Linked DNA regions of Arabidopsis thaliana. The protein of the gene in region 1 interacts with the protein of each later gene in a pairwise test. Each region holds a gene or a part of one and is shown in the gene's direction. Other genes may lie near its edges.

Region 1 (8,570 bases):
ATTATTAAAATGAATTCTACGTTAGTGGATTCTTTGCTAGACTCCACGACGCTTGACATGCACCACTAAAGATTGTTATGTGTTGATGATGGATATAAACTAATTAATATACTATGCCACGTAGTTACGTGACATGCGATTTCTAATGCCACAATCAATAACATATGAATTTTCGAATAAGCTTTATTTAATTATTCTTGTGGATAGTATCGGAGCTAGTAATAATTTATAAAGTGTTATGGGCATGCTGATGCAAGTCATAGGGCATGTGAGGTAGCACGCAATATGTGATTAAAAAAATATAATTATTCCTTTGATTAGGACTGCCAAATTATGGTTAATTATGTAGTTTATTTTATTCTTTAAATAATGTAGGATCCTTTCATGCATTCATGAAAGGGGAATTTCATGTGTTCACATTTATTTAAAACGAGAACATTAAAAATAAAAATATTGTAGGCCAAAAAAATGTTAGAATTGTTAATCAAACAGTAGTAACTTCCACTGACTCAGAAGACTCATAATGAGTCACGTTATAACTAAAGAGACTCTTTCAAGAAAGGAATCAATAAGGGTTTGATCCACGGCATATACTAACGTGGGAATATCTCATGGAGATTGGAAATTTCGTTGGAGGTCTATTTATGAAAGAATATGCTTAAAATATGCTCATATCAAATAAATATTCCATATATTACCTTTGTGGGTTTTGATCTTTTTTGAAAGATTCCAATATATATTTGGTGCAGACAAAGAATAACATACGGAGATGCTAGAAAATTGAGAGGATTATTCTTATAATTTGACTTTGCAACAAAAGTGCTGTAGTTTTGAAATTTTGGAATGTGGGGAATTTTTAGAAAACAGAAGAAACGTACCTAACTAGCCCACCACCGTACATCGTGTTTTTCCCTCAACGTACTTGTTTTCAACATCAAATAGTCATGAGTGAAAAAAGTTGATCTATTACGAAAAGTGTGCATTAACTTTAAATCGGTGGAATGTTGTTATCAAAAGACACTACACTGAAATAGGATCCGCATGTAAACGAACATTTGAATTAAAAAGGTACTATTTAAATATAAGAGAGTGGATAACAATCAGATAATAAAAACAAAAAAAGATATGGTTTCTCCAAGTATCTGAACGACATTTTTCATTGCTTGAGAAAATTATTTCGTTTAATTATATGTGCAAAGGTTAGATTAGGTCTTTATCAACAAAGTGTTAGATTAGGGATAACATAAACTATTTTTATTGATTAAAAAAAAAAAAAAGCAGAAAAAGGAGTACAACTCTGCTTTCTCACATCCTTTTACTCACCCCACATGGAAAAAAAAACCCGTAAAAGGCGGAAAAAGATTTGTTATCCTCTCTACATTACCGTCTCTACCCCTAAAAAGACTTTTCAAAAGCCAAACAAAATTCACATAAGCAACAAATGCAGAAAAAAAAAAAAAACTCATCGCCAAACTCAGAAGCAGCCACAACAAACAAGCTTCTTTTATTATTCAGCTCCTTTTTTTTTGGTTAAAAGTCTTTTCCAGAGTCTTCTCTTCTACTAGGTTGGTAGGCTGGCGGAATCTAAAATGCCCATAACCCAAATTTACATGCCCGACACTCCTCCATACTTGTTAGATAAAAAACCACCGAGAGAGATGATAAGCTATCACTTGACACTTATTTATTTCTCCGAGAGAATCTTCTAGATGAATCTCTCCTCTGTTTCTCCTGCTCTTTGGATCCATGGGTGCCCTGCAACAAAACAAAATTACAAAATACCAAATTTAGTTCACTTTATCATTAAACCAACCTACTAAAAAATGGATTAGTGTGGATAAGATAACATTATCTGTTAAAAATAGATGAAATTTATTGACATTAAAAATTCAACAGAGAAACAGATCTGATGGTTTTAGAATCTTACTTAATGCTTGTTCGGCTGAGAATCTTCTAGAAGCATCTTTGCATATCAATTTCCTTAGGAAATCTTTAGCCATAGATGAAACCCCCCGGAATATCTTCGTCGGAAAACGGAGATTTCCTCTGAGTACCGCTTCGAATATCTCTTCAGCTGTCTCGCCGTAAAACGGTGGAGTTCCAGCGAGCATCGTGTACAAAACGACGCCGGCGCTCCATAGATCGACCTTCTCTCCGTAAGAATATCCCATTAAAACCTCCGGCGCCACGTAATACGGCGTTCCGACGACTCCTTCGGTGGTCTCTCCCTCACCTAACCAAATCCCTGAACCGAAATCGCAGATCTTAACCGTATCGTTTCGTAGATCTACCAGAATGTTCTCCGGTTTAATATCCCTGTGAACGACGCCGTATCGGTGACAATGCGAAAGCGCCTGGAGAATCTGTTTAGCGAACGACGCCGTCTGAGGCTCAAAGAAGGTTCCAGAAGAGACGAGACGGTCGTAGATCGAAACAGAGGGATGGACGAGCTCCATGAAGATGGAGAGAGTCGAATCAGTGTCGATGAGATCATGGATTTGAACGATGTTAGGGTGATAGGACAAGAGAGCCATGAGCTTAGGCTCGTTGTCGAGACAGGCACGGTCAAGGTCGTCGGAGAGAGAGGCTTTGTCGATGGTTTTGCAAGCGAAGAAATCACCGGTGGCCGGAGCGTAGACGCGAGAGACGGTGCCGAAACGGCCACGGCCGATCTCCTCGCAGATCTGGTATTTGTTGGTGTTGTTGTTTCCGAGTGTTTGGCTGCAAGTCATAATATCACTTTCTTAATATTTTTTGTTTTGTGTTGGTTCTTGTGTGAGTTAAGAAGACCTCTTGAGTCGGCTCTACCTTTTTTTATAGCCAAAACTCTTGAGAATATTCCTTTTGATGCCTACATGTTTTTTTTTTCTACTAGTATTTTCCTTTTCCTTAACGTTATATCTTTTTTGTTTTTATTTTGTTTTAAATAGGATTTTAGATATTATTTCCCAATCCAAATCTATTTTTTTGTTTTGTTAGAAGTTTACTTGGAGAAGGTTTGTACTTTGTAATGTCTTTTCTTATCTTATTATATACAATTTTACTTTCTAACAGTTCTTTATTATCTATTTGGTTTGTTCTTTGAAATGATAATTACTTGGTGGTAGTCTAAAATTCACATTTAAGTTTATTATCAAATGTACTACACAATTACAATCCTCTCTAAATTACAGAAAAACATTCTCAACAGATCCAGATTTGTTAAGATAAAATATTGGATCTACAATTTAATATGTTTCCAGAAAAAGTTCATAAATTGATAATGCACAATCTAGTGAAAAAGAGGTAGGAAATCCAACCCCAATTTATGCAAAAACATTTCCAAATTGAATGTGAGTACTAAACGATTTCTTGGACGAGATTGAAATCTGAAAAAGAGATAAGAAAAGTGTGGCATGTTTGGATTGGAATTGGGAGATAATCCCTGCAAGTAAGTAAACCAGAGATCCCACGAAAACAAACTAATAAAGACACTGGATTGGGCCGATAAATCAGTTGGGCTGAAGAAAGCAGGCCGTCTTTATTATTACCTAATTCGTTCACGATGGAGGTCGAACCGAGAATATCCCCCTCCGGAGGCGAGCGCCTTATCCATTGGGCCACGCGAACTATTGGTCAGGCCTCAGTTTTTAGCCTTAACAAACTATTGAGTATTGAATGATTAGCTTCCAAACATCAATCACCAACCTTCTAGTTTCCTTTTAACCCTACTAGAGCTCTGCTCTGCCATGGCTCCCGCACTATCTACTTCTTGCTCCTCCGTCATGGCTTTCTCAACATCAAACGCGCTTCGTTACCATCATCCTCAAATTTCTCTCAGGAACTCTCTTCGCGCTCCCAAATCGCCTTCTTTTGTCAGGTACTTTCTCTTGATGCTGCTTTTTTGTTTTCCACTTCTCTTCGGTGGCTTTAAAGTCGAAGAATCATCGTTTGATAGTTCTTTTTGTTGTGTAAACTTACGGATTTTGTGGGTAACCGTTATCTTCTTCCTTCATAAACATTGTCAATTGAATTCCGACGGCTTAATTCGTGGATGAGCTTCTTACTGTTGCCTATAAAGTTTACAACTTTCAATTGCACTTAAGAGAGTTCCATTGTTGTGCTTATCAGACCATTTGGTACACGTTATCATTGTAATGAGGATGATTGAAATTCTCAGGCTTCCCCTCGGAAAGGTGTTACAGAGCAGGATTGTGATACGTGCTGCTTCGTCTGCGGCTGGTAATCCACAGTCTGATGCTGACTTTAATCCGTATGAGGTAATTGATCGTTAGAGCCCTATAAAGGACTTGTTTTGTTGGTCGTTGTGTATTTCTCATGACATGAGTGTGTGTACCTTCTCAGGTTCTTGGTGTTAACCCTATAGAGGGATTTGACAAGATCAAGCAAACTTATGGAAGGAAACTTAAAGATGCTCAGAGGAGCGGTGATGAAGCCACTGCTGCTCTAGTAAGTTACGTTACCTCTCTCTTTCTTTGGAGTCCTGTAAGTGATTTTTTTTTTTTTTTTTTCTTGTTAACACGTCTCTGTTTTACCTTTTGATAGCTTGAGAAGGCATATGATAAGCTCATGTATGCCCAGTTGATGAATAGGAAAAAGGGTGTGACTTTTGGTTCGTTTAAGGTGTGTATCGTATCCTCTTTCTTGTCATATGCTGTCTTGAACTCTATGACCTTTCTTTCTCAATCCTTGGTGAATTTTTCATAATTCAGGTTTCCAAGGACATTAAATATGCTGATAAGCAGCCCATTATACCATGGGGTCCAAGGTAGAGATTCTTTATGAGTCTACTCGCATTATTAATTTTCATCATTCAAAAGCAGGATCTGTTACTACTCATGATTTACCCTTGTTGTTACAGGTTTTCCAGGTCCTCCAAGAATGATATGTTGATCAACCTAGCAATATCAGTTGTGTTTGTAAGTAGTTTTTAAGAAATATGAGGTTTGCTATTATTAGAAATGTCAGTTTTTTTTTTTTTTTTATCTGTACCCTTTATGAATCAAGACATCATGCATAAATGACTGAATTCTTGCAGAAAAAGTGACTTGTTTCTTACACATTTATGCATATATGACATTTCAAGTACAATCAGATATGAGCCTCTCCCACTCTTTCTGTTTCTTTCTTTTGCAGAGTGCATGGATTGCGATAAAACGTAATGTTGAATACAAACCGCTGCAGTTCATGTCTTTTGTATTTGTTTACAGAATTTTTGAGAAATTAAAATCCTTTGAAGCACCTTCATCTCCAATATATAACGTGAGTTTTGAATTTTTTTGAAGCCTTATGTTTTGATGTCCGTACACTTAGTGGCTCTTTTAATCCTGATGTGCACTGATGTTTGACACTGGCTGCAGGAGGAAGGCGAAGAAAGTGGACGGGGATTGAGAATGGGAAAGAGGCTTCTTCGTTCTCTTTCCTTAGTTTTTGGCTCTATACTCTTAGCATCTTTGGTATGCATATCCATCAAGACTCCGTTATTTTAAAGAATCCGTTTTATGTTGCACCATCTAGTATTAGGTTTATTCAAAGAGAGCGGCATATGTGATATAAATGTGTCCAAGCGTTATTTTATGGATGCTCCTGATTGTTTGATCTAGTTATTAGATATGTCAGGAGTTCTTTTAATTGTGTATACCTATGTTTAACTCTCAGTGAACAATGTTTTGCAGGCATACACTGGGTTCTTAAATGGCATCGAGTACATGGGCTACTCCATACCCATGGTTCTTTACAACAACCAGGTTGTTTTTTTTGCATAACTTACATCTCTCTTCGCTTGAAACCTTCTCTTAACTAGTCCCACACAAAATGATCATTTTGATCAAAAAATGGTTTAGGATATTTAGGTCAATTGTTGGCTAAGCCTCAATGAACAGCACTAGTTGATTAGGTTGTAGATGATTGTGCTGTTTGTTTTGATTTGTGACATCTATAGGTATAAGAAGTACTTGTACTGAAATAAAAACTAAATGCACAAGTATTAGGTATGAATTGGGAACACATGAGTTGGATATGTGTTGCCACAATTGCTGAATTAAGATATAGCAAAGAGAAGGGTCTGGTCTGTAAATTAAATAGTTCCATAAGTGATATCAGTCAACCAGGCTTTTGATGATGTAACAAGAACTGACTGAACAGTGCTAATTCGGTTGCAGGAACTTATAGTGACGGCGTCATCGGCTTTCATGCTCTATGTTATAGCGTCGTTTTACAGATAATGCGAGAGTCCACAGGAGAATTGGTCAGTTAGAAGCTTTTGGAGAAGTTATGCTGTATTATAGGATGTTGCTGGGAGATGAAAAGTTTATTTTCTACAGAGAGATGGGGTTATCTTTATAACCTTTCTTTTGTGTGGAAAATCAAGTAAATTTTGCAAGAGAGAAATCCCTTAGAATCTAAGTCTTGTCTATTTACGTTTAATGCTGAGGATCGCATGTGGAAGGTTTTTTAATTTTTGTATTGGAGCAATAATATGCGTGAAGTGAAAAATCTTGAGATACCTTGAAAGTATCAGTCGTACACACAATTGAAGCGTTACGAAGATGAGAAACGTTATCAACCTTGTTAAAACACAACTGTGGAGAGTTTAGAATTGATGATAGATGAAAAGTTATAGGGATCAAAATAGAGAGCTAATATCTTTGGTGTGGTGGCGAGAAAAATCATCTGAAAAGATGTTTCATAGATTTGAGGTACGAATCTGATTGGTTGGGTTAGATAAAGGTCAGGTCAGGTGGCTAAGACTGAATTCGACTGTCATCAAAAAGGAGTGTCCACTACGGTCAGCAAAAGAAAAAGGACTATGTAGGTGAAGTGAATCCGATGGGAAATAAAACAAATGTGATAGAGAGAGAACAGAGACGCCAATTATGAGTAGAGCTGACACGTTGGAGCTGACTCTGTCTCTATCTCTATATCTCTGTCTTTCTCTATTTATAGATGGAGTACGTACAGCTGCTCCACACTATATATACAGTACATACTTTGAAAAGTATATTTGAGTTACGTCTTCAACTTCAAAGCGTTTCTTACTACTAAAGTGGTACGTTTCCCTAATTCGCTCTCATTTTCCATCTTCTTCTTCTCCTTCTTTTGAAAACACACACACAAGTTCGATTTATTTTCTTAGAATCAATGTGGTAACCATATTTCTAGATGACATATCTTGCCTAATGCTTCAATTAATTGGAGACATGATGAATTTTAACTGTAAAAAAAAAACAAATGAAACATTGAACAATTGATATAGGAATGAATAATTTTTTTTTGAAAAACAAAAGAAATAAGGGAAAAAGCTCTATTTGGTAGTATATAATAACCTAAGATTATATTCATTATTGTATTTGCCTAAAATTAGATTTAGTAGTATATTAATATAATTGACTGATTTTATGGTAAAATATATACACATTCTAAGTATTACTAAAATATTCAACATACAATAGAGAGTATAAATACAATCATTATATATGAGTTAGAGGATCACCGTTTGTGTGTGAATACTGAAGAAGGTATGTTTTCAAAGTAGATCTCTCGATGTGTTTTTGTTTTATAGTCATGATTTCTCACATAGTCACATTTCTGTGTATAGGTTACGTACGTGTGTTTGTAATGTCATTAAACAACTCGTTTGGGTGTTTTCATATACGTTTTTTTTGTTTTTGTTTTGAGTTTAGAATATTATCTAATTTTCATTTAGTATATATAAGGGATGAAATGTGACCGGACACCTTAGAATTTCCACGGTATCTGAATCAATTTACTAATTGAAAATTTGATTTGACATTAACGAATGATAAAGCTTTGGTTCATCGATGAGTCCGAGAGTAATAAGAAGACAACATTCTCGTGAATTACTTCTGCATTGGGACACGTATCTACGTGTGTTTCCCACATAGAACTCAGTTTCATCCTTTTCTCGTGAACATTACTTTCTTGATAATAGTTAGTTTCTTTGTCTTTATCAAACCAAACAAAGAATTTGTCGTTTTCGATAATATTTCATTTTCGTCGTTTCTTTCTTTCTAAGTTTCGATGTCAGTTCCTAATCTCTATGGCGTTCATGATAGCCAAATGGTAACTTTGGTGGCCTAATGTATGTCACGTAAATTATCCACGTGGCACTCACTTTTTTGCATCTTTCTCAAAATATATCAAAGGAGACTTCATAAAGAAAGAATCTTTAGTGTGGAGAGACTAAAAGGTTCTGTTTCAGATTCTCAAATTTTTTTTTTTTATTGAAAAAGATCTTTGAATCTCCCACACCCATTCGAATTTCCTCTTATGATTTAGGAGATTCTGTGTTAGTATCCTTCTTTTTGTTGTTTATTTCTTTATTTCTCTGCCATGTCGAAGGAACATACAAATCTGAAATTCTTCTTCATTATATATTAGCTTCACGGTCCATGTTTTTTCTGTTCTAATTTTTATTATTATGTGTTAATTTGATCTCAGGACACCACAAGCTTATTTCATAAGAAACTTCAAATTAGAATCAGAAACAAGAGCATCCTTCTTCATTTACACAGGTACTCACTCCTCTAGTTTCATTTAGAATTGTGCTT
Region 2 (7,805 bases), on another chromosome or scaffold:
GGAAGAGTTTAGGTTACGTATAAACAAGTTGTGGAATTGTGAAAAAAAAAAAAAAAAGAAGTTGTGGAATTGTGACCTAAATAACACGGCCCTTTAGTTTGTTTCCTCACCGGTGACAAATTCGTAACCACGCTTTTCAGTGTACCAATTTTACCAGGACAATATATATGACCATTTTAATTTTTAACAATTAAAGTGCATTCTCTTAAGAGCTTATTCTTGCATAATTGAATATGATGCTCACGGTCACGGGTTTCTTAGGGATAACGTACATGAAATCTCAAAAGAACCAATAACGTAGCAAGAGTAAAAACTCTCATGGAGAACTACGTTCAGATCTCCTTGGTCTAACACGCTAGCAACTTCCAATGTATTCTACAGTTTGGATAGATCTCGCAAATGAAACCTAATTTTTACTTATAATAAATCGTAAAAGTAAAACCATATGTGATGGGTTCTTTAGAAAATTGAAATTGTAAATAATTTCCTAAATCACGATATATAAAGAATGTGTATCAATTTTAGTTTTGTTATTCAGAATAATATTACTTAATTATGATCACAAATTCACACTGAACATATTCTAGGTTCCACTGTTTCATTCAATAATTGTATCTGTATATGTTCATTACCTCTAAAGGTAATATGTGATCCTTACCATTTTCATTCTTGGTCTTCGTTTTGGGACCAATTGACAAAGAACGATTGAAACAATCTCTCAACGAATTTTGCGTTTCTCTTGTGATGATCAGATTTCTTGGCACTACAATGCTCATGTACTTGAATGCCAAATCTTATGCGAGATATATTGGTAGTATCTTTTGTTGTTTTGTACATTTAAAGCTGTACACATGTGACACAAAGTGGTTGAATATATTTCTGTGTGTTTTCAGAAATTCTCCTTGATTACATGCAAGTTCTCAAACTTATGATGTACATAGTATTCTTAAAACCAAATTTATCTTATTGATCATGGTATTTTCCAATACAACATAACCTATGATGACATAAATAACTCTATTTCGATGTTGTTTATCTCAATGCCATGGCAACCTTTGGGCTCATAAACATAATTTTCTTTATGGTTGAGGTTTTCGACTTTATTATACCCATAATCTTCTTCTTTTTTTGCCTGACACTAACCTTTGATTATACAATAATACTTGTTAAATCAATAATACAAATTTAGGTGACATAAATTAATAATTCTCTGTTTCGCGAAACGTATCATTCCAACATATTAACACAACTTAAGAAAACTGTTTAAATTTATATTTTATCTTTTACAAATACATTAGAATCAAAGTATCTTTCTTATTAATAACCCAAAATAAAAGAGACTAAAAAGATATTTATTTTCAAAAAGTGTATAGAAAAAAACAAAAAGACAAGATTTGTAAAACAAAAATAAAATTTTAAAACGACCCTATTGATAAAACGGAAAGAGCATAACTTATACCAAATAGATACACCACTACCACTCAAAACTATAATTTTTTTTATTTTCAAAACCTTAGTTATATGAGACTCATAGGATAAAGAATGAATGAGCCAGCTATGGTTATAGTATAATTTGTTTTAATTAGGTTTATAATACAATGAAAGTGGCTAATTTTAGCTAATTGTTTAAAAAGTTGATTAGTTGGAATAAAGTGAGGTAATCGGTAATCCAATGGAAAAAGAATATAACAAAACCTAGTGGGAGTATATAAATCTAGGATGCATGACTAGTGCCACGTTGCCGCTTCTGTTCGGTGTCCTCTCTCTCTTTCACTACTCACCACCACTCTCTCTCTCTCTCCCTCCATCTCTCTTGGATTCTCTCTCAGATTCCATGGAAGCTCCAAAAAGCTGATTCGTTCAGCCAATTTTTCTTCACTCTCTCTCAGATTCGGATCCGTGGTCAGATCAACCACCGTGTGTTTTCCGATCCGATTCGATTCTTTTTTTGTCAGAGCTCTCAGATAAATACTAGGATTCCGTTTCCACCACAGATCCTTGATTTGATTTGGATTTATTTCTTCTTCTTTCTCTCTTCGAGTTTGATTCCACAAGATACCTTGTTAGTTTTTCTCTCTACCTTTGATTTGATCCGTTTTCGTTATTTGAATCGAAAATTTGCTTAGGAAGTAGAGATTCTGGATCGTGTTCGTTATTGTTCATGATTTGCTTGTTGAATTCTATAATCTTACTCGTTGAATATGCAGGATCTAAGTTTAATTGAAGAATTTAGAGGTTGAAATCAGTTTAACAACATTTCTCAACTTATCCATACAGATAGATAGGGTTTGTTATCTTAATTTGGGTTTTAAGGATCCAGGATCTGTATTTTAGCTCTTATGTTGATGATGATCATGTTCTATGTTGTTGAAGTAGCTCGTATCTTCGTTTTCTGATTTAGGAATCGTATTATTACTAATGACAGAATGAATTTTTTCTATATGCAGGTCCTGCATTGGAGAAACTAATTTAAGGTAAGGTTTGACTACTTAGATGGTATGCAGCAGTTTCATAAGGAGTTTCATTGTTCAAGCTGGTTGTCGTATTGGGGTGTTGGCTCAAGGAAGACATCAGTTTATTCATATTAAGAAGACTTTGAGTGTGGGTTTTGGATTTAGAACTAGTGTGATTGGATTTAGAACAACCAGTGGAATTGGATTTAGAACTAGTGCGAAGATGATGGTTGATACTTCTGCTGGAGAGAAACGTATATCCTTAGTTGATATGCCGCCTGAGAAAGTTGATGATGGTGGATACATCGGTGGTGGGTGGAAAAAGTGAGTTGTTTCTCGTTTTTTTAGATTCCGTGTCTTTGTATCGTTGTGCTGAATGTAGCAAATGCCTTAGGTATATATATAGGGCTGTTAAAATATTACTTGTTTTGAAGATATCATTTTATATTTTAAGTGTGAAATGCTAGCAAGATTGTCATATCTTTCACCAAGTTATTTTGTTATACGGATGATTATGTCATGGAAGAAACTAAGTTCCATTATACGTTGAAGTTTTATATTGTTATGTAGGCAATCGTTAATTGTCTATATCTTTGGATCAATGTGAAAGTATTGTTTTCTACTTTTTTCTTTTGTTTTTAAGTGGTCTTTAATATATGTTACGTGCAATGACAGTGATGATGGAAGCTTGAGCTGTGGGTACTGTAGTTTCAGAGGGAAAAGATCTACGATGGAAGATTTCTATGATATCAAAGCTTCCACTATTGAAGGCCAAGCAGTTTGCATGTTTGGAATATTTGATGGTTAGATTCTATGTTTCCTTCCTTTTCTTTTGGTATAGACGAATACGAAGTGTTAGTGTGACTTGGGGAAGGTATTTGATCTGTTTTGAAGCCTAGTTTTCAACTTTCCTTATTACTATTGTATTATCGCAATGTAAACATGGCTGAGCTAAAACACAGTCCAGCTTCATTTGCAGAATGACAGTTAAGAAAGATCTAGAATTACCTTAGTTAGAGTCCGTATTTGTACATACTTATTTAGGAAAATTAAAGGTTGCAGTGCACTTGAACTAGCAATATGCGTTCATATAATACTCAGAAACAGAATCATAGATTGTTGACTTGATCTCTATTTTTCCTCTTCTAATATCTGAAGCTTTAATCATCACAGGCCATGGTGGTTCACGTGCTGCTGAATACCTGAAGGAACACCTGTTTAACAATCTCATGAAGCATCCACAATTTTTGACAGACACCAAGCTGGCATTAAGTGCGTCTATATCTCTTGACATAAGATCTTGTTATAATCTAAGAAGTATGAAGCTCATAAGTCATCTGGTTTCCTTCTTACATGGTTAATTTGGCAGATGAAACATATAAACAAACTGATGTAGCATTCCTCGAGTCCGAAAAGGATACTTACAGAGATGATGGCTCCACAGCATCTGCTGCTGTGTTGGTGGGGAACCATTTGTATGTTGCAAATGTTGGAGACTCGAGGACAATAGTTTCTAAAGCTGGGAAAGGTCAGTATGTCGTTGTGATCTAATACAATGTGGCATATCATTTAAAGATAAAATCGAGAGCTTCAAAATGAGTTTAGGAATTGGAGTTATACTATCCTTATAGAACATTGAAATTTAGTTAATAGTGAATGGATTCTTATGATTGGTCACAAACCTTTGTTGTGTTCTTTCCATAAGGACTCTTTTCAAACTTCGTGCTTTATGTTTTGCAGCGATCGCGCTATCTGATGACCATAAGCCAAATAGAAGCGATGAAAGAAAGCGAATTGAAAGTGCTGGTGGTGTTATCATGTGGGCAGGTAATCTGATATATAAGAAATTGTCCCTCGTTTGTGTCCCCCTAATTGGTTGCTTGCTTCTAAACATGACAAAGTGAGATCGCAGATTTCTCTCTTGAGTTAGATTACTAGCTTCATTATTGATTTACTCAAAATGCTTGATATCTCCTTCGCGAAATTGAATATGACAATATTATTGTTGGTTTTTTTGTTTCTCCTTATTTAGATGGAACAATGACACACATACCATCTTATCTAGGCATTCTATTTGTCGGGTTAGGGTTATTCATGCTTTAAACATTCAGTGTCAGAGAAAAACTAGATTTCCTGAGGCATGCCCATTAAGCATCCTTCTCTGAATTTTTCTTTCAGCCCTAGACTTGATAATAATATCATCTTGATTTTTACTTGTCAGGAACATGGAGAGTAGGTGGGGTGTTGGCTATGTCCCGGGCCTTTGGTAACAGAATGCTGAAGCAATTCGTTGTTGCTGAACCCGAGATACAAGTAACCGCTTCTAACTGCAACTTACTGTTTTTGTCCAAGGGTGTCATGTTGTTCTCATCATCTGTAGTATCACCCATGTGAAATCTCCGAGTTTTAAGTTTTTGTGAACATGCTTCTGTGCTTATTTTTCAGGATCTAGAGATAGATCATGAGGCCGAGTTGCTTGTGCTTGCAAGTGACGGTTTATGGGATGTGGTACCAAATGAGGTATGACTCAAATAAATTCACCCCCTTGTATCTGTTTCTGAATGGTTTGAGGGATTTAAATATTTGATTTTCTACATCTGATTCAGGATGCGGTAGCCCTTGCTCAGAGCGAGGAAGAGCCCGAAGCAGCTGCCCGCAAGTTAACTGACACTGCCTTCAGCCGTGGCAGTGCAGACAACATCACGTGCATTGTTGTTAAATTCCGTCATGATAAGACAGAATCTCCTAAAATCGAAACAAACGCCATGGCTGAATCGGAACCTGAACTGAACCCCACAACTGAACTGGAACCTGAATCAAACCCCAGTACTGCATTGGAAACTGAATCAATCCCCAAAGCTGAACTGGAATCCGAACCTGATGCTATACCTGATCCAAAACCTGAAACCGAACCAGAGACCAAGGGTGAGAAAGCTGGTGAGTAAGGTAGCAGCCGGGGAAAGGTGTCCATACTGTTGGGGACATGTGGAAACAGATGAATATAAAATTGCTTAGTAAGTTGTGTGGTTTGTGGCTACCTGTAACGTGTGAGGATTTGTGTTTTTTGGTTTTGTGTTGCATTCATGCACATGCCTATGCCTGCCTTGAGGACGACGACGACCCTTTTGACATGTCCCCGATTTTTGTCTATTCATTTTACCCTATTTTGTTTTTGTTGGTGCTACTCACACCAAAAACAGCACATTTGTTCTCTGTTTCTCCTACTTTTTTCTATCTTTTATTTAAAACACCGTCCATTCCAATAAACAATGTTTTTGTAATTCTTCCCCATCTCTTAGCTTTCCTCGTTCGTCTCTACGTTATTAGTAGATCTCAAGTATCACCATAACAAATTTGTGGTTATTTGAACAATTAACTCCTTCGCGCATAACTTAACTGATATTTGGCTTCTTCTAGTATATCCTTCCATGTTTGCACTTCCCTTGTCTAATTACAAGATATGGAAATGGTGGACAACAAATATTAGTTGTGAATCAAGAAAATTTATCAAATGGCTGATGTGATAAGTATAGAAAATCTTATTCATGATTAACAAACTTGTAAGTTGTAAACTATTAATGAGTCAACATTATATTCCAGATTTATTTTGGAAATATGCATGTGTGAGCTGTAAACGATAGAATTACCATTTAAAAACGATAGAAAGATAAGAAAAATATTTTATCATTTAAATTTTCAGTGTAGGTCAAAACTTAACTATGGTTGAATAACCATATTTACAAATAATGACAAAGTAACCACAGTTAAGTAACCATAGTTAAATAACCACGTTTAATTAACCATGGTCAAGTAACTATAGTTAAGCAATTATGGGTAAAACTGGTATAATAAAGTAACTTTATTATTTTTGAATTCAAAGAGGATAATTAGTACCTAAATATATTGTTTACATTTAATTTATAACCTAATAATATATAATTAGTCTAAATCTAATAAATTCAAAAACAGACATGTGTAAGTTGTAGACCACAGATTAAGAAGAAAATAATTTATTTTCATGTTTATACCACTCTTAACCTACTGAGTCAAAACTTAACCATGGTTAACTTAACCATGATTAGTAAATTTTGGATTTTTACTTTGAACAACTTAATAAATTTCACACCCAAATACATTGTTTTTCTCACATTATATATTTGAGGTGTTCTCAAGAGAGAAAAAAAAAAAAGGAAAAAAAACTAATATCAAAGAGCAGGGTTTGTGAGGGTGTATCTGAAAAAAAATAAAGTTTGGTTGATTCAAAAAATATTCTTATCCTCGGAGTTGCGATCCAACGATTGGTATGTTTTCTCCTATTTTCATGGTTTCTTCTTCTCTGTTTACTTTGTGCCCTTTCGCTTTCTCGCTTTATCACTTTATACTAGAGAAAATTGGTTTTAGGGCTTTGAAATTGCAGTGATCTATAAGGGTTTTATGGGTTTGTATCACACTTTTGGTGTCTCTGTGATGGCGAAATTTGGGTTTGATTTTAGGGTAGTGGAATTTGTACCGTTTGTGTGTAGATCCGTTTGAAATGTTTTTGAAATGGTTACAATTTTCGCGGGTCTCGTACTGGTTTGATTGATTGCATTGAATGAAATGTGCATTAGGTTTTTTTTTGGGTTCGTAGTGATTATGAGATGCAAATGGTATTGGGAGTTTTGATTGTGGGTTTGGTGAATTGTGGTTTAGGTTAGGTTAGATAGAATTTGAAGATCTGTGATCGTAATTGTGTTTATTTGGCTTTGATTGGTTTTGGTTCATCATCAGTGATTATATTGTTGTTAGATTTCGAGGGGAGGCTTCATTTAAATCTGGATACACCTATTGTTAAGATGTTTGATTGCATTAGATGATAGATTCTCTAGATCTTTCTTTTATGAGCCTTGTGTATCTCTTTAACCATAGGTTAAGTTTGGTGAATTGTGGTTTAGTTTAGGTTTATCTCTTGTTAGATAGAGTTTGAAGATCGTAGTTGAGTTTTTGTGGCTTTGATTGGTTTTGGTTCTTCATCAGTGTTTAAATGTTGCTAGATTTTGAGGGTCTTCATTTTAATCTGGATATTAGTTATTGTTAAGATGTTTGATTGCATTGGATTGATAGATTCTCAAGATCTTTCTTTTATGATCCTTGTGTATCTCTATTATATTCAGCTGATTGTTGCGGAATCTGTATTCCGTGGATACGCGCACCAATATGTATTCAACGGGTTCACGGGCAAATTTGTTTGTGTTTTATGTGGCTTGGATATGGTAATTTCATAATATATGGCCAAAGAGTGGTTCTCTTTATGTGTTTTTAAATGTAATGTTACCTTAGGAAGGTCGAACCGGGTTTGTTTAGTAAAATTCG
Region 3 (7,288 bases), on another chromosome or scaffold:
AAGTTTGCAGTACCTCTTGTGATGGATATGAACATAAACAAAATGGTGGTTGGCTGCCCTTGGAAGCATCAGCAGAAGATTTATCTTCAGGTTTTCTCTTCGTTCTTATAATTTTATCCTTTTCTTCACTCTGTTAAAATTGCTGGCATCTTCTTGAGAAACTTGTTGCGGATCCAGGTAGTATACCCGATTCTTCGGAAATATGAAGCAGCACCGTCAGCACCTCGTTTGAAATTAGTATCATATTATGATTTAAAATCGCTATTCTCTGTTGAGGATGTTAAACTTTCTCCATGGATGGACGGGATGTAAGTTAGTTACAGATGTACACACAGTTCACTATACCTGCAAACCATACATGTATTAATCAGTAATACTTACATTTCTATTTCAAAGGTGCTTGGCTGAATATCTTCCCCATCTTGAAGAAACACTTGAGAGACAGGTCAGTTAAACTAAATCTTCTTAATTTCCTGAGTACGAGTGCCTTATTTACCTTAATTTCTAGATCCATGAAGCTGTTGCTGCAATTGATTTAAGGAGGAGTTTTATTGAGGCATTAAGTCTTAATCTGGGAAGACCTCTTGAAGCCGATCCTGTAAGCATTTCTTCGCACGCCTTGACATATATTTAGAACTATTTCCGAGCTTCTTAACTTTCTTATTTGTTTTTCTTGCTAGACCTTTTGCCGTAAGGCTACATTCCTTAATGCCTCTGGACAATTTACTTTCATGGTAATTATTCTATCACTATTCAAGCCTTGTTTAAAAAGTTCTATTCAATCTTTGCCAAAGTGGATTTTCATACTTGTCTTCTAGAGAAATCTCAATTTCACAAAAATATGTAGCAGTGGATTATTGGGTTTTTGGCTTTGCTGTAGGTTCATTTCTTCTTTTCAACTCAATTTCCGAAGCAGCAACCAACTCTGATGCTGCAAAGTTGTCAGGTATCAAAACTATTTGTAAACGAACTAAGTAGAAGGCTTCGACTTTCTCTTTATTTATTTAGGTATAAAAATTGACAAGCTTTTTATATGCAGCATTTAAACCAATCGAGTGTGCCAGTGAAATCGAATCTCCTCACTGAGTACCCATGGAGTCCAAGATGGGAAGTGGGACGCATGGCTGAGCGACTGTGGTTAGTCTCTATGGACTCTTTCTTAGATGTCTTATTTAACTAATTCTCCTTCTGAACATTTAAAATTTTACTTTTTTGCAGTGACTTCCTGACCGACGAGGCTGTCAACTTTAAAAAATATTGTAACGAAGCTCTGCTCCAACATTAGTGTATCTATTTCGAAAGTTAGTATTGTCCAAATTTTATGTGACACTCCTCTTGCTATGTAAACTGAAATGGATTACTGTTCTGCATTAAGGAGAATACAATTATAAGCAATTTGTCTTGATTTCAACAAGATTTTGCTTGGCTATAGGATTCATTGGCTCTGTTTGCTTTTACATTTACATGTCATAATAGTTTCGAATTTTACACATTTCAGTTGGATGTTAAGAAAAGAGAGGGAATTGATGGGGTTTTGTGGGTTTAAACTTTAAAGTAGTCAAGAATTAAGTCATTGGTTTACTGTTGCTCTATATGTGTAAAATGAAGGCAACTCCAACGGTTCTTAGGTGGAATAGATTATTTAGACGATTTAACATCATAAAGTCCGTGGCGACTGTAACATCATAGATTGTTTTTTATTTTTTTCAGTAGCTGGTGATGTTTTTTGATTTAACTTATACTACTCAAAATCAAAATTCCATAAACCCTAGACGACCAAACAGTCTCTTCAATATGTAAAACAGAACAAAGTTTTTGTAGTAGCCTAAAAAGACACTCCCATGGAAGCTCTGAGTCACGTCGGCATTGGTCTCTCCCCATTCCAATTATGCCGATTACCACCGGCGACGACAAAGCTCCGACGTAGCCACAACACCTCTACAACTATCTGCTCCGCCAGCAAATGGGCCGACCGTCTTCTCTCCGACTTCAATTTCACCTCCGATTCCTCCTCCTCCTCCTTCGCCACCGCCACCACCACCGCCACTCTCGTCTCTCCGCCACCATCTATTGATCGTCCCGAACGCCACGTCCCCATCCCCATTGATTTCTACCAGGTATTAGGAGCTCAAACACATTTCTTAACCGATGGAATCAGAAGAGCATTCGAAGCTAGGGTTTCGAAACCGCCGCAATTCGGTTTCAGCGACGACGCTTTAATCAGCCGGAGACAGATTCTTCAAGCTGCTTGCGAAACTCTGTCTAATCCTCGGTCTAGAAGAGAGTACAATGAAGGTCTTCTTGATGATGAAGAAGCTACAGTCATCACTGATGTTCCTTGGGATAAGGTAATTTCGATTTCGGAATAATAAAGTTTCTTCGTTTTAATTTCATGAATTGGATAAAGGAAGGAACTTTTATCTAGTGAAGGTTCCTGGTGCTCTCTGTGTATTGCAAGAAGGTGGTGAGACTGAGATAGTTCTTCGGGTTGGTGAGGCTCTGCTTAAGGAGAGGTTGCCTAAGTCGTTTAAGCAAGATGTGGTTTTAGTTATGGCGCTTGCGTTTCTCGATGTCTCGAGGGATGCTATGGCATTGGATCCACCTGATTTTATAACTGGTTATGAGTTTGTTGAGGAAGCTTTGAAGCTTTTACAGGTAGTTTGACTTGCTTTGGTAATTTGACGAGCGTTGGCTTTATAAGAACTTTCTTGATTTGATACTTTGTTATTGAGTCTTGTGTAGGAGGAAGGAGCAAGTAGCCTTGCACCGGATTTACGTGCACAAATTGATGAGACTTTGGAAGAGATCACTCCGCGTTATGTCTTGGAGCTACTTGGCTTACCGCTTGGTGATGATTACGCTGCGAAAAGACTAAATGGTTTAAGCGGTGTGCGGAATATTTTGTGGTCTGTTGGAGGAGGTGGAGCATCAGCTCTTGTTGGGGGTTTGACCCGTGAGAAGTTTATGAATGAGGCGTTTTTACGAATGACAGCTGCTGAGCAGGTATACAGTTTAGATACCTTTTTTTAATTTCTTTAGCATGATATAACTTTAGGTTTCTCATTTTAATGTATGTTGTGTGGTAGGTTGATCTTTTTGTAGCTACCCCAAGCAATATTCCAGCAGAGTCATTTGAAGTTTACGAAGTTGCACTTGCTCTTGTGGCTCAAGCTTTTATTGGTAAGAAGCCACACCTTTTACAGGATGCTGATAAGCAATTCCAGCAACTTCAGCAGGCTAAGGTAATGGCTATGGAGATTCCTGCGATGTTGTATGATACACGGAATAATTGGGAGATAGACTTCGGTCTAGAAAGGGGACTCTGTGCACTGCTTATAGGCAAAGTTGATGAATGCCGTATGTGGTTGGGCTTAGACAGTGAGGATTCACAATATAGGAATCCAGCTATTGTGGAGTTTGTTTTGGAGAATTCAAATCGTGATGACAATGATGATCTCCCTGGACTATGCAAATTGTTGGAAACCTGGTTGGCAGGGGTTGTCTTTCCTAGGTTCAGAGACACCAAAGATAAAAAATTTAAACTCGGGGACTACTATGATGATCCTATGGTTTTGAGTTACTTGGAAAGAGTGGAGGTAGTTCAGGGTTCTCCTTTAGCTGCTGCTGCAGCTATGGCAAGGATTGGAGCCGAGCATGTGAAAGCTAGTGCTATGCAGGCACTGCAGAAAGTTTTTCCTTCCCGCTATACAGATAGAAACTCGGCTGAACCCAAGGATGTGCAAGAGACAGTGTTTAGTGTAGATCCTGTTGGTAACAATGTAGGCCGTGATGGTGAGCCTGGTGTCTTTATTGCAGAAGCTGTAAGACCCTCTGAAAACTTTGAAACTAATGATTATGCAATTCGAGCTGGGGTCTCAGAGAGTAGCGTTGATGAAACTACTGTTGAAATGTCCGTTGCTGATATGTTAAAGGAGGCAAGTGTGAAGATCCTAGCTGCTGGTGTGGCAATTGGACTGATTTCACTGTTCAGCCAGAAGTATTTTCTTAAAAGCAGCTCATCTTTTCAACGCAAGGATATGGTTTCTTCTATGGAATCTGATGTCGCTACCATAGGTATGATTAAATGATGCAATTTTCATATATCTGCATTGCTCAAAATATGCTTGTTTTGTGAGCTAAGAACATAGTTCCCACTTAATACATGTCCCAAAAGTTGTACCAAGATTAACAAGTTGCTGAGTAAATTTCACTAATTATGCTGCTTGAATTTTTTGATCAAACTGTAGACAGAAATGTAAATTTCACTCTCAACATTTCTGTTTAGAATAACGTAGGATTAGAGATTGCCTTAGTGTGGCTTTGTCCAACTTTTCTTTCCTTGATTTTTTTCTTTTCGATTTAGGGTCAGTCAGAGCTGACGATTCAGAAGCACTTCCCAGAATGGATGCTAGGACTGCAGAGAATATAGTATCCAAGTGGCAGAAGATTAAGTCTCTGGCTTTTGGGCCTGATCACCGCATAGAAATGTTACCAGAGGTGAGGGAATAAATCTACAATTCAATCAATTGTGTGAAAACTGTTGGACATGATTATAGTCTGGTGCCTTGTTTGATTCTGTTATTTATAGGTTTTGGATGGGCGAATGCTGAAGATTTGGACTGACAGAGCAGCTGAAACTGCGCAGCTTGGGTTGGTTTATGATTATACACTGTTGAAACTATCTGTTGACAGTGTGACAGTCTCAGCAGATGGAACCCGTGCTCTGGTGGAAGCAACTCTGGAGGAGTCTGCTTGTCTATCTGATTTGGTTCATCCAGAAAACAATGCTACTGATGTCAGAACCTACACAACAAGATACGAAGTTTTCTGGTCCAAGTCAGGGTGGAAAATCACTGAAGGCTCTGTTCTTGCATCATAATATACTCATATGTAGCATGTCTGAGCTTGCGAGATTCTCTTTGTTTTGTAAATTCTCTCTCTAAGTTAGTGTTTATAAATGAACACAAAAAAATTAACGTTCTTGGCACACCCTTTTCCTTGATCTAAACTATAACATAAGGGCTACAATTTTGGATTCTTTCGCAATCAGGTACAAGCAGAACTTGACTTATCTTACATTCAAGCCTTTCACAACTTAACTATCAGTGTTTGGAGACTTCTGTCTTGTTTATGTTTTATAATTGTGCTCTGGTTATCATCTGGTCAAGCGTATAGCAGAGAATGATTTGGTAAATCTCCAGCCAGATGATTTTACGTTTTCGGTTCTAGGTAACAAGCTGAGGCCAAACATTTCCTTCGGCATTCGACTTGGCTCAACAAATCCAAGCAGCTTAGCCACAAGAGAAGCACTTTCTTTTATGTGGTCCATATCTTGGGTGTTGGTCCACAGCTTGTGCGCCACTTGCAGGCTTCTCTGCTTTGAGTTCACCTCCACGCCCCATTTTTGGTAAAGCCCTATTCTTTGGTTCCATGGAAACTTCTTTGGTAATTGTTTGGAAATCCATTCCTTCTCGCGTGTGAGTGCCTTCACTGTTTGCATCCTGATTAGACACCAAAGGAATTGGTTAGCATACTTATGAGTATATGATTGATATTGATGAGACTCGTTAAAAAGGTGTTGCAGAAAAATACCTTGATGTTTCCATGTCATTAGATATCGTCTGCTTCAGAAAAGATAGCCTTCGAAGTTCAACTTCCATATAAACATAGTCTGAAGGATCACCTTTGAAGAGCAAAAAGAAGTAGGTTCTGTGAACCAGTGGTACATTGCATGCTGCCCAAAGCTCAATTATTTTCCTTTGCTGTCTCTCAAAGTCTGAAGAACTGATTGAATATTGTCCATTAGCAGCTACCTGTAGTTTCTCCTGGGAAGCCTCTGTGGAATCTGTTTCCTTAGGTTTTGCTTCTTCTACCTGCATTTTGTGATCATCCAAACTGTTGAGAAACGAAAGAAGTTTTTGTCTCCCCAAGAAAATATTTTTTTTGGCTTACCGAATCACCAACCTGCTCTCTCTGTGACTGATTATTGGTGGCATCTGTGGTTTCTTTATTTATATCCTGAGGATTTGGCAATGCATTCTCGTTTCCTCTAACGCTATCTGCAGGGCTTTCCGGTCTGATCTCCATTCTTTCGGTTTTTGTGGGAGCGTATGGAATCCCATAATCTAGCTCCGGTGTCGAGTCAATTGAGTGATGCTTCTTTGCCATTTCCTCAAGCCCTGCTACAAATTCACGGAAGCTATTGCCCATCTCAGGATCATAGTCTTTCAGGCTACGCGTATCAATGGAGGTAGAACTCCCTGAATCAAAGGAAATGCTCGAAGTGTTGGGTCTTCCAGGAGAAGCTTTTGTCTGCATAACCCTCCAGGTAGGTGATGTATTGTTACTAACTTCCAAACTCTCAAACCAATGAGGAGATCTAACACTCAAGAGATTTTCTCTGCAACTTCGGCTTCTTTTGGCAGTAAAATATTCTGGAGGACTCTTGAAATCTCTTCTGAAGGAGGGTGATTGTTGTTGTTCTGCTGTGTGCATGCTCATAAGGTATTCAATTTTCTTCTGCATCTCCTTAACTTTTTCTTTCAAAGCCATGTAAGTGTCGTTGTCATTATCATCTGTCCCAATATTTTTGCAGACAGATGATTCGTTACAATCTTTATCAGCCTCTTGTTGCTGTTTGCTCTCCCACTTATCTCTAGATGTCGCATCCTCATCTAACTTAGCATCGTTGGGTGTTAACTCCACTTCGACTGTTGCTTCTGATTGGTTATTAATAGGGAGTGAATTCAATTCACAGTCTTCCGTTGATTGCTGTTCTGACTGAGCATTTTCTTCTTTATTTAAGCATTGCTCAGCTTGCTTTGTGGAAGGACTCATTTTCCTCTCTTCATTCTTCATTTGTTCCTCTTCATTCACAGATTCCTGTGATTCTTGAGCTTCAACTGATGGGCCTATCTCCAAATCCGAGTTCTTTAGAGTTAGCTCATAGGTCTCAGGCTTAGCATTCACATCTATTGTTTTTAAAGATAAGTCAACATTTTCCTTTTCTGCAGGTGTGCTAATCTCCATATCTTCATTCTCGGCTTTCTCATTACTTGTAGAAGAGTTATAGCTTTGTTCGTATTCCAGAGCTGATAATGGTTCGTCCTTTCTAGGTGTGCTAATCTCCATGACTTCATTCTCGGCTCTCTCATTACCTGTATAAGAGTTATAGCTTTGTTCGTATTCTAGAGCTGGTAAAGTTTCTTCCTTTGCTGCAGGTATGCTAATCTCCATGTCTTCATTCTCGGCTTTCTCAATACCTGTAGAAGGGTTATAGCTTTGTTCG

Evidence for each region. Proteins that work in one complex are often made in the same cells at the same time.
Region 2: the proteins of CJD1 (region 1) and AT5G53140 interact in a two-hybrid assay, tested with the Arabidopsis thaliana proteins (one study listed by BioGRID).
Region 3: the proteins of CJD1 (region 1) and ARC6 interact in a two-hybrid assay, tested with the Arabidopsis thaliana proteins (one study listed by BioGRID).

What each region holds. Positions count from the first base shown.
Region 1 is NC_003070.9:2,746,368-2,754,937, reverse strand, and holds CJD1 (Chloroplast J-like domain 1), read left to right. Parts: upstream 1-3,317; 5' UTR 3,318-3,728; coding exon 3,729-3,859; intron 3,860-4,159; coding exon 4,160-4,259; intron 4,260-4,344; coding exon 4,345-4,449; intron 4,450-4,545; coding exon 4,546-4,623; intron 4,624-4,712; coding exon 4,713-4,768; intron 4,769-4,861; coding exon 4,862-4,919; intron 4,920-5,136; coding exon 5,137-5,262; intron 5,263-5,360; coding exon 5,361-5,456; intron 5,457-5,675; coding exon 5,676-5,747; intron 5,748-6,161; coding exon 6,162-6,224; 3' UTR 6,225-6,577; downstream 6,578-8,570. Other genes in the region: PPCK1 (phosphoenolpyruvate carboxylase kinase 1), read right to left, coding at 1,706-1,755, 1,928-2,732; AT1G08645 (uncharacterized protein), read left to right, coding at 2,343-2,687, 2,931-2,996, 3,108-3,125. UniProt on the Arabidopsis thaliana protein: Probably involved in the regulation of the fatty acid metabolic process in chloroplasts, especially chloroplastic galactolipids monogalactosyldiacylglycerol (MGDG) and digalactosyldiacylglycerol (DGDG).
Region 2 is NC_003076.8:21,546,735-21,554,539, forward strand, and holds AT5G53140 (Protein phosphatase 2C family protein), read left to right. Parts: upstream 1-1,662; 5' UTR 1,663-2,062; exon of another isoform or gene 2,063-2,286; intron 2,287-2,447; 5' UTR 2,448-2,493; coding exon 2,494-2,777; intron 2,778-3,128; coding exon 3,129-3,256; intron 3,257-3,626; coding exon 3,627-3,725; intron 3,726-3,822; coding exon 3,823-3,981; intron 3,982-4,193; coding exon 4,194-4,280; intron 4,281-4,674; coding exon 4,675-4,766; intron 4,767-4,898; coding exon 4,899-4,973; intron 4,974-5,059; coding exon 5,060-5,398; 3' UTR 5,399-5,860; downstream 5,861-7,805.
Region 3 is NC_003076.8:16,983,454-16,990,741, forward strand, and holds ARC6 (Chaperone DnaJ-domain superfamily protein), read left to right. Parts: upstream 1-1,642; 5' UTR 1,643-1,841; coding exon 1,842-2,348; intron 2,349-2,430; coding exon 2,431-2,655; intron 2,656-2,742; coding exon 2,743-3,003; intron 3,004-3,086; coding exon 3,087-4,074; intron 4,075-4,363; coding exon 4,364-4,497; coding exon of another isoform or gene 4,498-4,509; exon of another isoform or gene 4,510-4,588; coding exon 4,589-4,879; 3' UTR 4,880-5,155; downstream 5,156-7,288. Other genes in the region: AT5G42470 (BRCA1-A complex subunit BRE-like protein), read left to right, coding at 1-90, 178-308, 397-445, 509-598, 681-734, 881-946, 1,040-1,137, 1,219-1,285; AT5G42490 (ATP binding microtubule motor family protein), read right to left, coding at 5,156-5,501, 5,593-5,873, 5,953-7,288. UniProt on the Arabidopsis thaliana protein: Component of the plastid division machinery consisting in a binary fission accomplished by the simultaneous constriction of the FtsZ ring on the stromal side of the inner envelope membrane, and the ARC5 ring on the cytosolic side of the outer envelope membrane.